2 linked regions of the Schizosaccharomyces pombe genome follow. The main gene of each other region encodes a partner of the protein of the gene in region 2 in a complex. Each region holds a gene or a part of one and is shown on either strand. Other genes may lie near its edges. The genes, in order: atg8 and hfl1. A codon is read from its position in the direction of its gene.

Region 1 (3,894 bases), on a different chromosome or scaffold from region 2:
CGACGCAAGCAACGTAAAGCTCAAGAAATGAGAGAAGAAAGGTATCGACAACGGGCTGAACGTGATACAGAGGAACAGATATACTCCGAGTTAAATATGCAGAGACCTGTGCCAAAAACCGTAGTGCATGAGGACCCTGCTGAAGCATTCCCCACATTGGGAAGTCATCATCAATTTGAATCTACCGATGAGGTTAATACAGATGAGTCTACCTTATCTACTGCAAAGACTGTTTGGGGAACAAGAGCTCTTGCCAATATTCAAAATGACACCGATGATCAAGACGATCTTGATGGTTGGAAAGTTGACTGGGACAAAGTTGCTCAATTATCTGCACCTTCCAAAAACTCAAAAAACAAAAAAAAGAAGAAATTAGTTTTATTATCAACAGGTGCCGCCCATCGATAAAGATGGAGCATTCTCAGTGATGAAATGCTACTGAAATTTTTGAAATGCAGGAGTGGGCTTTATTTTGAAATATAGTTATAACACTTGTTGCTTGAATTATGAAAGTTTACGATTGACCAATTTTTTGGGGCATGTGAATAGTATTCGCTATTATGACAACCAGTTAATGTAAAAAAGGATAGAATCAGCTGATGATATATATCTACTTATTATTTATCAACATTTTAATATTATTAGAAAATCAAAATCAATTTTTTTAATTGATGGTTTTTATTAATTAACAAGGTAAAATAACTTTGTTGTCAAAGCAAACTAGTCATAAGCGTTCATCACATCTATTGTAAGACAAATCTGAAACATCCTTAAAATCGTGGTGGCTAACCTGAGAATGATATGTATAAGACGCGCGTAAAATAATCATAATGCAAAAGCAAAGAAACTTGAAAGCTAAAAAGCTAGAAATGCAGAGTAAAAAAAACATAAAGAATCATTCAACCATTGTCCACAAACAATTTTGCTGATCACAATTAAAAGAAGGCGGGGCCATCTTAAAACAGGCAAATTGTTGATCTAAAAAGGAAACACTGTTCCAAATGTATTTTCTCCTGAATACGTGATATACAAAAAGCCGTCCTCACTTTTATGCTCTTCGTATATCGTTGACATCAAGGCCGCTGTCGGGGGCAAGATTTCATCAATGAAAATAAAGATGGCCTTCTCAGGAGAAAGTTTTATCCGTTTGCGAATAACATATACAAATTGACCAACTGTAAGGTCAGATGGAACGAGATATTTCTTTTTATCTATTGCAGCAATATCAGATTTATCAACTTTCTCGCAAATAACCTGTTAAGTTAGCAGTTAAGTTTAAAACGTAATTTGTATTTTTGAAAGAAAAAGGTCAGACTTGTAACAATGGATTCACTTTTGATGACAAAAACAATGGGTGTTGTTCAATTCACCACTATTTTGCTCTGAAACCTGTTCTCTTTGACCACCAGACTCTACTTACAGGTATTCGATCGGGATATTTTTCCCGGATTCTTTGAGACTCTGTTTTTCGTTTCTCTGATTATTAATTAGCCTACTAGTTCCAGGTATTCTACAATGCTGTCCAAAAAACAACTTCTATAAGTTTTTGACACATACCAAAAGAAAAGTCGTCCTTGAATTGAGAACGCATGAGAACTCTCAAACTTCTTGCTTGAAGTAGTAACTCCTCTCTTCAATTGCTTCAAAATTCGGTGTTCTTTGTAAACGGTGCGTGAGTTATGTGGTATACGGTCTTGGATAAATAAGCGTACCCTTGGGTAACGTATACAGAGATATGAAGCAATCTTATGATACTATGATAAGTTACCTTATTTCGTAATAAATAAATACTTTACGAATCTTAAGCAGTACACAATCAAAAGGAATTTTTACTACTTCTTTATAGTATGATAGCCATAATTGGTATATACTCAATCCTTGGTACAACAAAAGTCACAACTCTTTTAGGAAGAAAAGCAAGAATGGAAATAAAGACGTTGTGTAAATAAATAATAGCACGCTTAACACGTAAATACCTTCCAAAAAAGGTTAGGAAATAGAATTTTGCAAATAATTACTATTTCTATCTTTCATTAAATAATCAAACCATTAGAAAAATAGTAGTGTTTGATGTAAACAAATAAGCGCTTCTTGAATTATTTGCTTAACATTGTGCTAAAAGTTGCTACAGCAACCAAAATCTAGCGAGTCTTGCTATTAAACCCCACCATAACTATTTATTTATCCTTTACCACACAACGAAGCTTTTAGTTTGTGAAAACAAAAATGAAGTTGTTCTATTTCTCTTTACTTTTTACTCTTTTCTTTGGGCTTATCTCTGCCAACCGTGGCCCCAAAGTTACAGACACAGTGTATTTCGACTTGCAACAAGGTGATGAGTTCCTTGGAAGAGTTACCATTGGATTGTTTGGTAAAACTGTTCCCAAAACAGCCGAAAATTTCCGCGCATTAGCCACCGGAGAAAAGGGATTTGGATATGAAGGATCTATTTTCCATCGCGTTATTCCCAATTTCATGATTCAAGGTGGTGATATTACGAAGGGTGATGGTACTGGTGGAAAATCAATTTATGGCAGCCGTTTTCCTGATGAAAACTTTAAGCTTTCTCACCAACGTCCCGGTTTGCTTAGCATGGCTAACGCTGGACCCGATTCCAATGGATCTCAGTTTTTCATTACTACAGTTAAAACACCTTGGTTAGATGGACACCATGTTGTTTTTGGTGAAGGTAAGAATTCATATTGTAGTTGTATATGTTTTATAAAAGTGACTATTTGTTTTCTTTTTCCTTTTTTTTGTTTGCTAATACTAATTTTATCAGTCCTTTCTGGTTACGATATTGTCAAGAAAATTTCCAAAGCTGAGACTGACAACCGTGATAAGCCTCTTGAAGATGTAAAAATTATCAAATCTGGGCAGTTGTCTCAAGAAAATGTTGAAGATGACGGAACAGATGAATTGTAATCCCTACTTTCTATTTATGAAAGTCATCAACATCTAGTGTTTATAAGATTTACTTGAAAAGCAATGATTTTACATTCTGTTAACATAAACGTTTATCATTGGAAGGATCACTTCTTGTGGTAGTTTGTTTGCATTTTCTGACAGCCATAGTTGTATAACTAATATACGCATAAAGAATGCGATTTTAACAAGTTTTCAATTGAATGAATATAGAACTCTACGTATATTATCCAATTTAGCAAGCGTAATAGCAATGCTGCAATTCTGATAGTAAGTATTGACAACAAACGCGAAGCTTATTAGCTGCTTACTATTTTGTTATGTTTTATCAAAAAGAACTCAAAGACATTATTTTTTCCTATCAGCTGGCTGATATTACTAGCACGTTGTGTAGTTGTTTACCCTATGGGCTCTTAGAAAAGCGGACTTAAGGAATTTCGAGAGTCGGAAGCTGTCCACCGCAAACATTTGGGTAAAATCGGTTTTTGCGTCAATTGTGAGAAATCAATTTCAAACTAATCGTAATGTTTGACTCAACAAAAAAATCACTGCATTCGATGTCGGATTCTGCGAACCGCTTCCAGAATAAGATTACATCGAAATTACCAGGTAAGCATATTTCCTTTGCTTTTTGAGACATTACTAACAAAATGGGATTTATAGGTGAACATGGCGAAGATGCTATGTATGATATTAGATCCGTTCATGGAACCGGGCCTCGTTTATCAATAAAATATGTCGATGTTACAAAATTGCCTCCTCCTCCAAAACATGCTTCACAGTTGCGTGCCGGTGGTAGTAGTACTGGAAGTACACCTAGAACGGCTAGCCCGGCTGTAGGAAATCAAGATTATTCGAAACCCTCTTATTCGCAGCCTTCTTATTCCCAACCTTCACAGCCCCCCAAGGAACCCGCTCTTCCTTCAAGAGGGACTCCTTCACTTCCTAGTCGACCAGGGAGTCGTCCGT
Region 2 (4,952 bases):
CCCCATTCCTATCGATTGGATGCTGTATACGCCTCACACAGAGGATTTAACCGAAAACTTTTGTACTTATTATATGTTCGACGAAACTCCAATTGTTCTTAGTAGTATTTAACGAGTATCTTACATTCTGCATTGTTTGTTGAAGGGTATAACAACATTAATGATTTCAATTTATTCCAAGATTTAAAAAAATTATTAAAAAGTAAAGGTAGAGGATATTATAACTATACAGTCAGTAGCAAAAGGTTCTTGAATATGTTTAAAGACGGAGTTGTAAAGAATAAATAATTTTGAGTAATTCATGTAAATAAATAACAGATTTATGTTGTCCAAAATTTACGGTCCTAAAAATAAATTAAACCAGATCTTCAATATCTTGTAAACTTTGTTGGGAGAAATACTGGGATGATTTTTTTGCAACTCGCTTTGACCTGCGCAGTGACCTAGTTTCTTTTGTAGTTGAATGGAATGCGACAGGTGGCTTCTGATCTACATCAATATCAGCGGCTGGTTCTTTTTTCAAAGGTTCATTCATGTGTGATATACTATCAACAGGGTCCAAGTCCTCAAGTTTTATAAGTGATTTATCTTCGATGCTTTGGTAATACAAATCATCTGTAGGAAGGGAGAGTGGAGATAGAGGAGGTGACTCAGAAGCAGGTCTTTTTTTGACTCTTTTAATCGTTTTGACTTTTCTCTTAGTTATTGTGATGCCACTTTTTTCTTTAAAGGCGCTAGGACACAAGCCCTTAGAAGATAAAGTACACATATCACAGCGCCTTCCTCTTGGTAAACAGATTGTTTGCCCAAAACCGACAAGTGTATGGTTCAGCTCAAACCATAATTCCTTAGGCAGCCAGCTTTGCAAAGCAGCTCTAGTCTGTTCTTCAGTTTTCGTATTACACCAATGAAGAAGATTACATATACGATGTACGTGAACATCTACTCCAATTCCAACAGTTTTATTCCATGCAATACTCATACATAGATATCCCATTTTAGGCCCCACACCTGGGAGAGTCATTAGGTCTTCTACGGTGTCCGGAATATCTCCTTGGAACTTTTCTGATAAAATACGTGCCATTTGTTTCAAATAAATGGTTTTTCGGTTATGAAAACCAACTTTCTCGATTAGTTTATTTAGAGAAACTTCATCAATATTTTGGATATCTTCTAAACAAAGTCCTCCAGCTAATTTTTCTTTTAAGTTTCGCATGGTAGGACCCAGTACTATATCTTTTGTTTGGCTAGAAAGCATCAATGCCACCAGTGTTTGAAATCGAAATTTTTTTGGATCATTACGTTCTCCTAATGTATGACAACCCTGAACGTCTACAGGCGCTACGACCTTGGCTTTCATTTTACAAATTTCATCGTAAACCTCCCTCCAGTTCTCAGGAGGAGTTCCGTAGTCTTTACTCATTGCTTAACAAATACAAATTTGTCTGCAGTCTTGGCTAAAGATTTTATTTTCTTCAACAACTCATTTACTGAACTTTAGCGATATTACATCCAAGAAACAACGCAGGTGAGCGCAAAAATATTAAAATTTATAAGTGATTTGTTTTGAATACAATGCGGTAATAGTCTGACTTGGAGTTTCTCAATTTTATAAAAGAAATAATTTTTTAACTAAGCCATATATATGCCAAGGCGAAATTCTCCTACGCATTAAGAAACAAACACTCATTATATTTTACTGCTTCTTTTTCAAAAAGTCAGCTTAAGAATCATCAGAATGCTATGGGAGACATTACTTTAGGTCCTCCATCATACAGAAGGGAGGAAAGTAGAGTTTAAAAAAAAAACAAAAATTAGATTAATTAAAGATCACGAATTGCTAGTATTATGGAAACAAATGATTTTTACAGCAGTACTACAGCTATAGGGCAAATTATCCTGTAAGACAGTATTATTAATTTACTTTTGCTATAAAACAATATCCATACTAAAGAGGTAAATCAATATTAGCTTCGATGAACTCTTCCACATCACAAAGTTTCGGTACTTTATCTATAGCTTATGCGTACAAACACCGTAAAGCCCGTAGTAGGTAGTATCTGTTTGGAATTGGAGAAGGCCCCCTTATAGCTTGTGGTAGCCACCTTGCCTGCATTTTTGTCCCTTCATCACGATCAGCTCTAATTTCATGGACAACGAAATAGTCGCATTATGCGGCTTCTTCGTAGCCATTGCTTTAGTGCTATCATGTATTTCTATCATTACTCATTTGAAAAATTACAAAAAACCAGTCTTACAGCGTTCTGTGGTGCGAATTTTGATGATGTTCGTAAAATTGAAATTCTTTGACTGATATAGAAATGTACTAATGCTTTGCTAGGATTGTAATTTACTCTTCTGTATCGTTTTTATCGGTATACAATGAAAAAATTGGAAGTATTTTCGAACCGTTTCGTGAAATTTACGAGGTAGGTTTTTCTCATTTAGCCGTTGCCATTGAATGAAGTACCTTCCTTGGCAATCAATATATTGCAGATTTGTTTTAAAATGCTTGAAAAGGGGTTGACTGAAAGAGTGGTTTGGCTGTTATGAGTTGTACTATGTTGGTTTACTAGTTTAGTTAGTTAATGAGGCGTAATTGAGGTTTTAATGGAATAATTTCTAACAATAAATTAGGCATTCGCTTTGTATTGCTTTTTCTGTTTATTAATTGATTATCTTGGCGGAGAACGGGCTGCAGTTATTAGTTTGCATGGACATCTGCCTCGTCCTAGGTTATGGCCCTTGAATTATTTGCAAGATGATATTGACCTAAGTGATCCTTACACCTTCCTTTCTATAAAACGTGGGATTTTACAATACACTTGGCTTAAACCATTTCTGGTGATTGCCGTGCTGTTAACAAAAGTCACCGGAGTCTACGACAGAGAAGATCAACCTGTTTATGCTTCTGCAGACCTTTGGATAGGTCTTGTTTATAACATTTCAATTACGCTTTCTTTATATTCACTAACAACTTTTTGGGTTTGCTTGCATGAAGAGCTCGCTCCTTTTCGCCCTTTCCCAAAATTCCTTTCCGTTAAAGCTATTATATTTGCCTCTTACTGGCAGCAAACCGTTCTTTCCATTACAAACTGGCTGGGACTTTTAAATGGAACAGGCTGGATTTACTCCTTACTAAATCAGAACGTTCTCATGTGTTTAGAAATGCCCTTTTTTGCCCTCTCACATTGGTACGCTTTTCGAATCGAGGATTACGATACACCCACATGGCTGTCTTGTGCAAGACTACCGCTCCTTAAAGCCTTTAAAGACGTAATCGGGTTGAAAGACGTCTGGTGCGATAGTTTGCAAACTCTACATGGAGATCGTTATGTATATCAAAATTTTGAGCCTGGGGAGAACTTAATACCTTCAAGAAACGATGGAAGGATTAATAGAACAAGTCATGGTCTTCGGTACAGTCAGGGAGGTCAATCGAAATACTGGATTTCTCGATATGATCAATCTCGAGTGCGTCTCATTAACAATAGTCAAAACTCTCCACAATCAAATAAGTCCTACTTTTCTATCCCAGGGATGTCAACTTCACATTTCGAAAATGGGCTCCAATTTGAAATAGACGATGAAATGGAACCATTATACAATCAAGCGAAACAGATGCGTTATGGTGATTATAATTATCCAGTTCTTCTAGTGAACAATACTCATGCATCTTCTTCATATACATAAAAGTCACTAGAACCTAGTAGCAAAAGAACTTAATGTATTGCTGAATGGCATTGCATTGGACCGTTTGGTTTTTGGCATTTGATTCTGAGCTGCCAAAACAATTTCATTCAGATTTGTCTCTAAGACAAGACCACCAGATACTACCTCAGCAAGAATAGCATGTATTTCTTGGAATTTAAAAACCTATATTGTGTTAGATCTTTCTAATTCGCTTTCAAACAGATGGCTTTCAACTCTTCTAATTATTTCTTCCTTCAATATCCTTTTTTTTTGGCGTATACACTTGTATTTGGATAATTATTACTAACACCTCCTCTTTTTTTTCATTGGAGATTGCGAATCATCGACAATGAGACTCTACTTCCAGTTCTATGCATAATTTCTTTCTTGAAGGCGATGAGAAGTAAAGGAATTAGGAATTAAACTCTTGTAGTTCCTAAGTTCAATAAATGATAAAAATAAATGTTATGCTCTTTTGATAATCGAATATTGGACAAACATTAATGTTTCTTGTAAGGCCAAATTTCCAAACATTCGAAACCAAATAAGAAAAAAACAAATTAAATAAAAAAAAACGGAATCAATGGTTTCAAACATATAGCAGTAGGATAATGGGAAGATAAACGAGTAGTGAAATGTACTTACCAAATCAAGCTCGCAAACATTATTAAAGCATCGATCTAATGCTTCAACAAATACCTTTAATAGTTAGAAATTGGAAAGTAACTAATTTCAACTTACTTGAATGAGATCGAGAATTCCTAGTTCACTTTCACCTTCATCTACTACAAAAACGAAGTAGAGAGTAGCGTACTGGCGATAAATTATTCTATTTTTACCTGCAATTAAATTACTTTCCAAAAAATTACAAGCGGTTGGGGGCCTAGTGGATACAGCTGCATATATATCTCCTATTAACTTTTGTTGAATGGATTCATCAATTGGAGTGTAAAACTTTGTGAGACGAGGTTTCCCTTTATTGTTAAATATAAAAACAGCGTAAATCATGACAATAGAAAGGGAAAGCTGGCAGAACCCAAATATGCAGTGCTTGGTAAACGGCAAGCTGAAGTTTAAGTTGAATATACGTTAATAGTAGTTTGGAAGAACCAGGATCGACAAATTTCTTTCAATGCCTTAGTTAATTTGCTATATTTAAGATTTTCATGGTTTTATATTTATTGAGTATATTATTTATCCACTATTGAACCAAAGATCTGTTACTGAAATTCATAATGTCTAGTAAACAATTTTTGCCA

What was found.
Region 1: the proteins of hfl1 (region 2) and atg8 are in contact, whole or in part, in a crystal structure (PDB 6AAF), measured with the Schizosaccharomyces pombe proteins. Residues at the interface, in NP_593211.1 of Schizosaccharomyces pombe: Leu386 (codon at 3,568), Gln387 (codon at 3,571), Phe388 (codon at 3,574), Glu389 (codon at 3,577), Ile390 (codon at 3,580), Asp391 (codon at 3,583), Glu393 (codon at 3,589), Met394 (codon at 3,592), Glu395 (codon at 3,595), Leu397 (codon at 3,601), Tyr398 (codon at 3,604), Gln400 (codon at 3,610), Ala401 (codon at 3,613), Lys402 (codon at 3,616), Met404 (codon at 3,622), Arg405 (codon at 3,625), Tyr406 (codon at 3,628), Gly407 (codon at 3,631); in NP_596531.1 of Schizosaccharomyces pombe: Phe5 (codon at 1,579), Phe9 (codon at 1,567), Lys13 (codon at 1,474), Glu17 (codon at 1,462), Arg20 (codon at 1,453), Ile21 (codon at 1,450), Tyr25 (codon at 1,438), Arg28 (codon at 1,429), Val31 (codon at 1,254), Ile32 (codon at 1,251), Lys46 (codon at 1,209), Lys48 (codon at 1,203), Tyr49 (codon at 1,200), Leu50 (codon at 1,197), Val51 (codon at 1,194), Pro52 (codon at 1,191), Asp54 (codon at 1,185), Leu55 (codon at 1,182), Gly58 (codon at 1,173), Gln59 (codon at 1,170), Tyr62 (codon at 1,161), Val63 (codon at 1,158), Lys66 (codon at 1,149), Arg67 (codon at 1,146), Thr87 (codon at 1,086), Phe104 (codon at 1,035).

What each region holds. Positions count from the first base shown.
Region 1 is NC_003423.3:3,683,675-3,687,568, forward strand, and holds atg8 (autophagy-associated protein Atg8), read right to left. Parts: upstream 1,697-3,894; 5' UTR 1,592-1,696; coding exon 1,558-1,591; exon of another isoform or gene 1,477-1,557; coding exon 1,421-1,476; exon of another isoform or gene 1,255-1,420; coding exon 979-1,254; 3' UTR 607-978; downstream 1-606. Other genes in the region: rnf10 (ubiquitin-protein ligase E3), read left to right, coding at 1-408; cyclophilin family peptidyl-prolyl cis-trans isomerase Cyp4, read left to right, coding at 2,227-2,689, 2,783-2,925; SPOM_SPBP8B7.26 (uncharacterized protein), read left to right, coding at 3,450-3,534, 3,589-3,894. UniProt on the Schizosaccharomyces pombe protein: Ubiquitin-like modifier involved in autophagosome formation. With atg4, mediates the delivery of the autophagosomes to the vacuole via the microtubule cytoskeleton.
Region 2 is NC_003424.3:1,106,418-1,111,369, forward strand, and holds hfl1 (transporter Hfl1), read left to right. Parts: upstream 1-2,120; 5' UTR 2,121-2,149; coding exon 2,150-2,286; exon of another isoform or gene 2,287-2,334; intron 2,335-2,341; coding exon 2,342-2,429; intron 2,430-2,637; coding exon 2,638-3,693; 3' UTR 3,694-3,699; coding exon of another isoform or gene 3,700-3,876; 3' UTR 3,877-4,269; downstream 4,270-4,952. Other genes in the region: Lsd1/2 complex PHD finger domain-containing protein Phf2, read left to right, coding at 1-112; nth1 (DNA endonuclease III), read right to left, coding at 356-1,423; AP-3 adaptor complex subunit Aps3, read right to left, coding at 3,700-3,876, 4,339-4,392, 4,435-4,701. UniProt on the Schizosaccharomyces pombe protein: Vacuole membrane protein that recruits ATG8 to facilitate the degradation of vacuolar integral membrane proteins during early-stationary vacuole turnover (EVT) when cells enter stationary phase.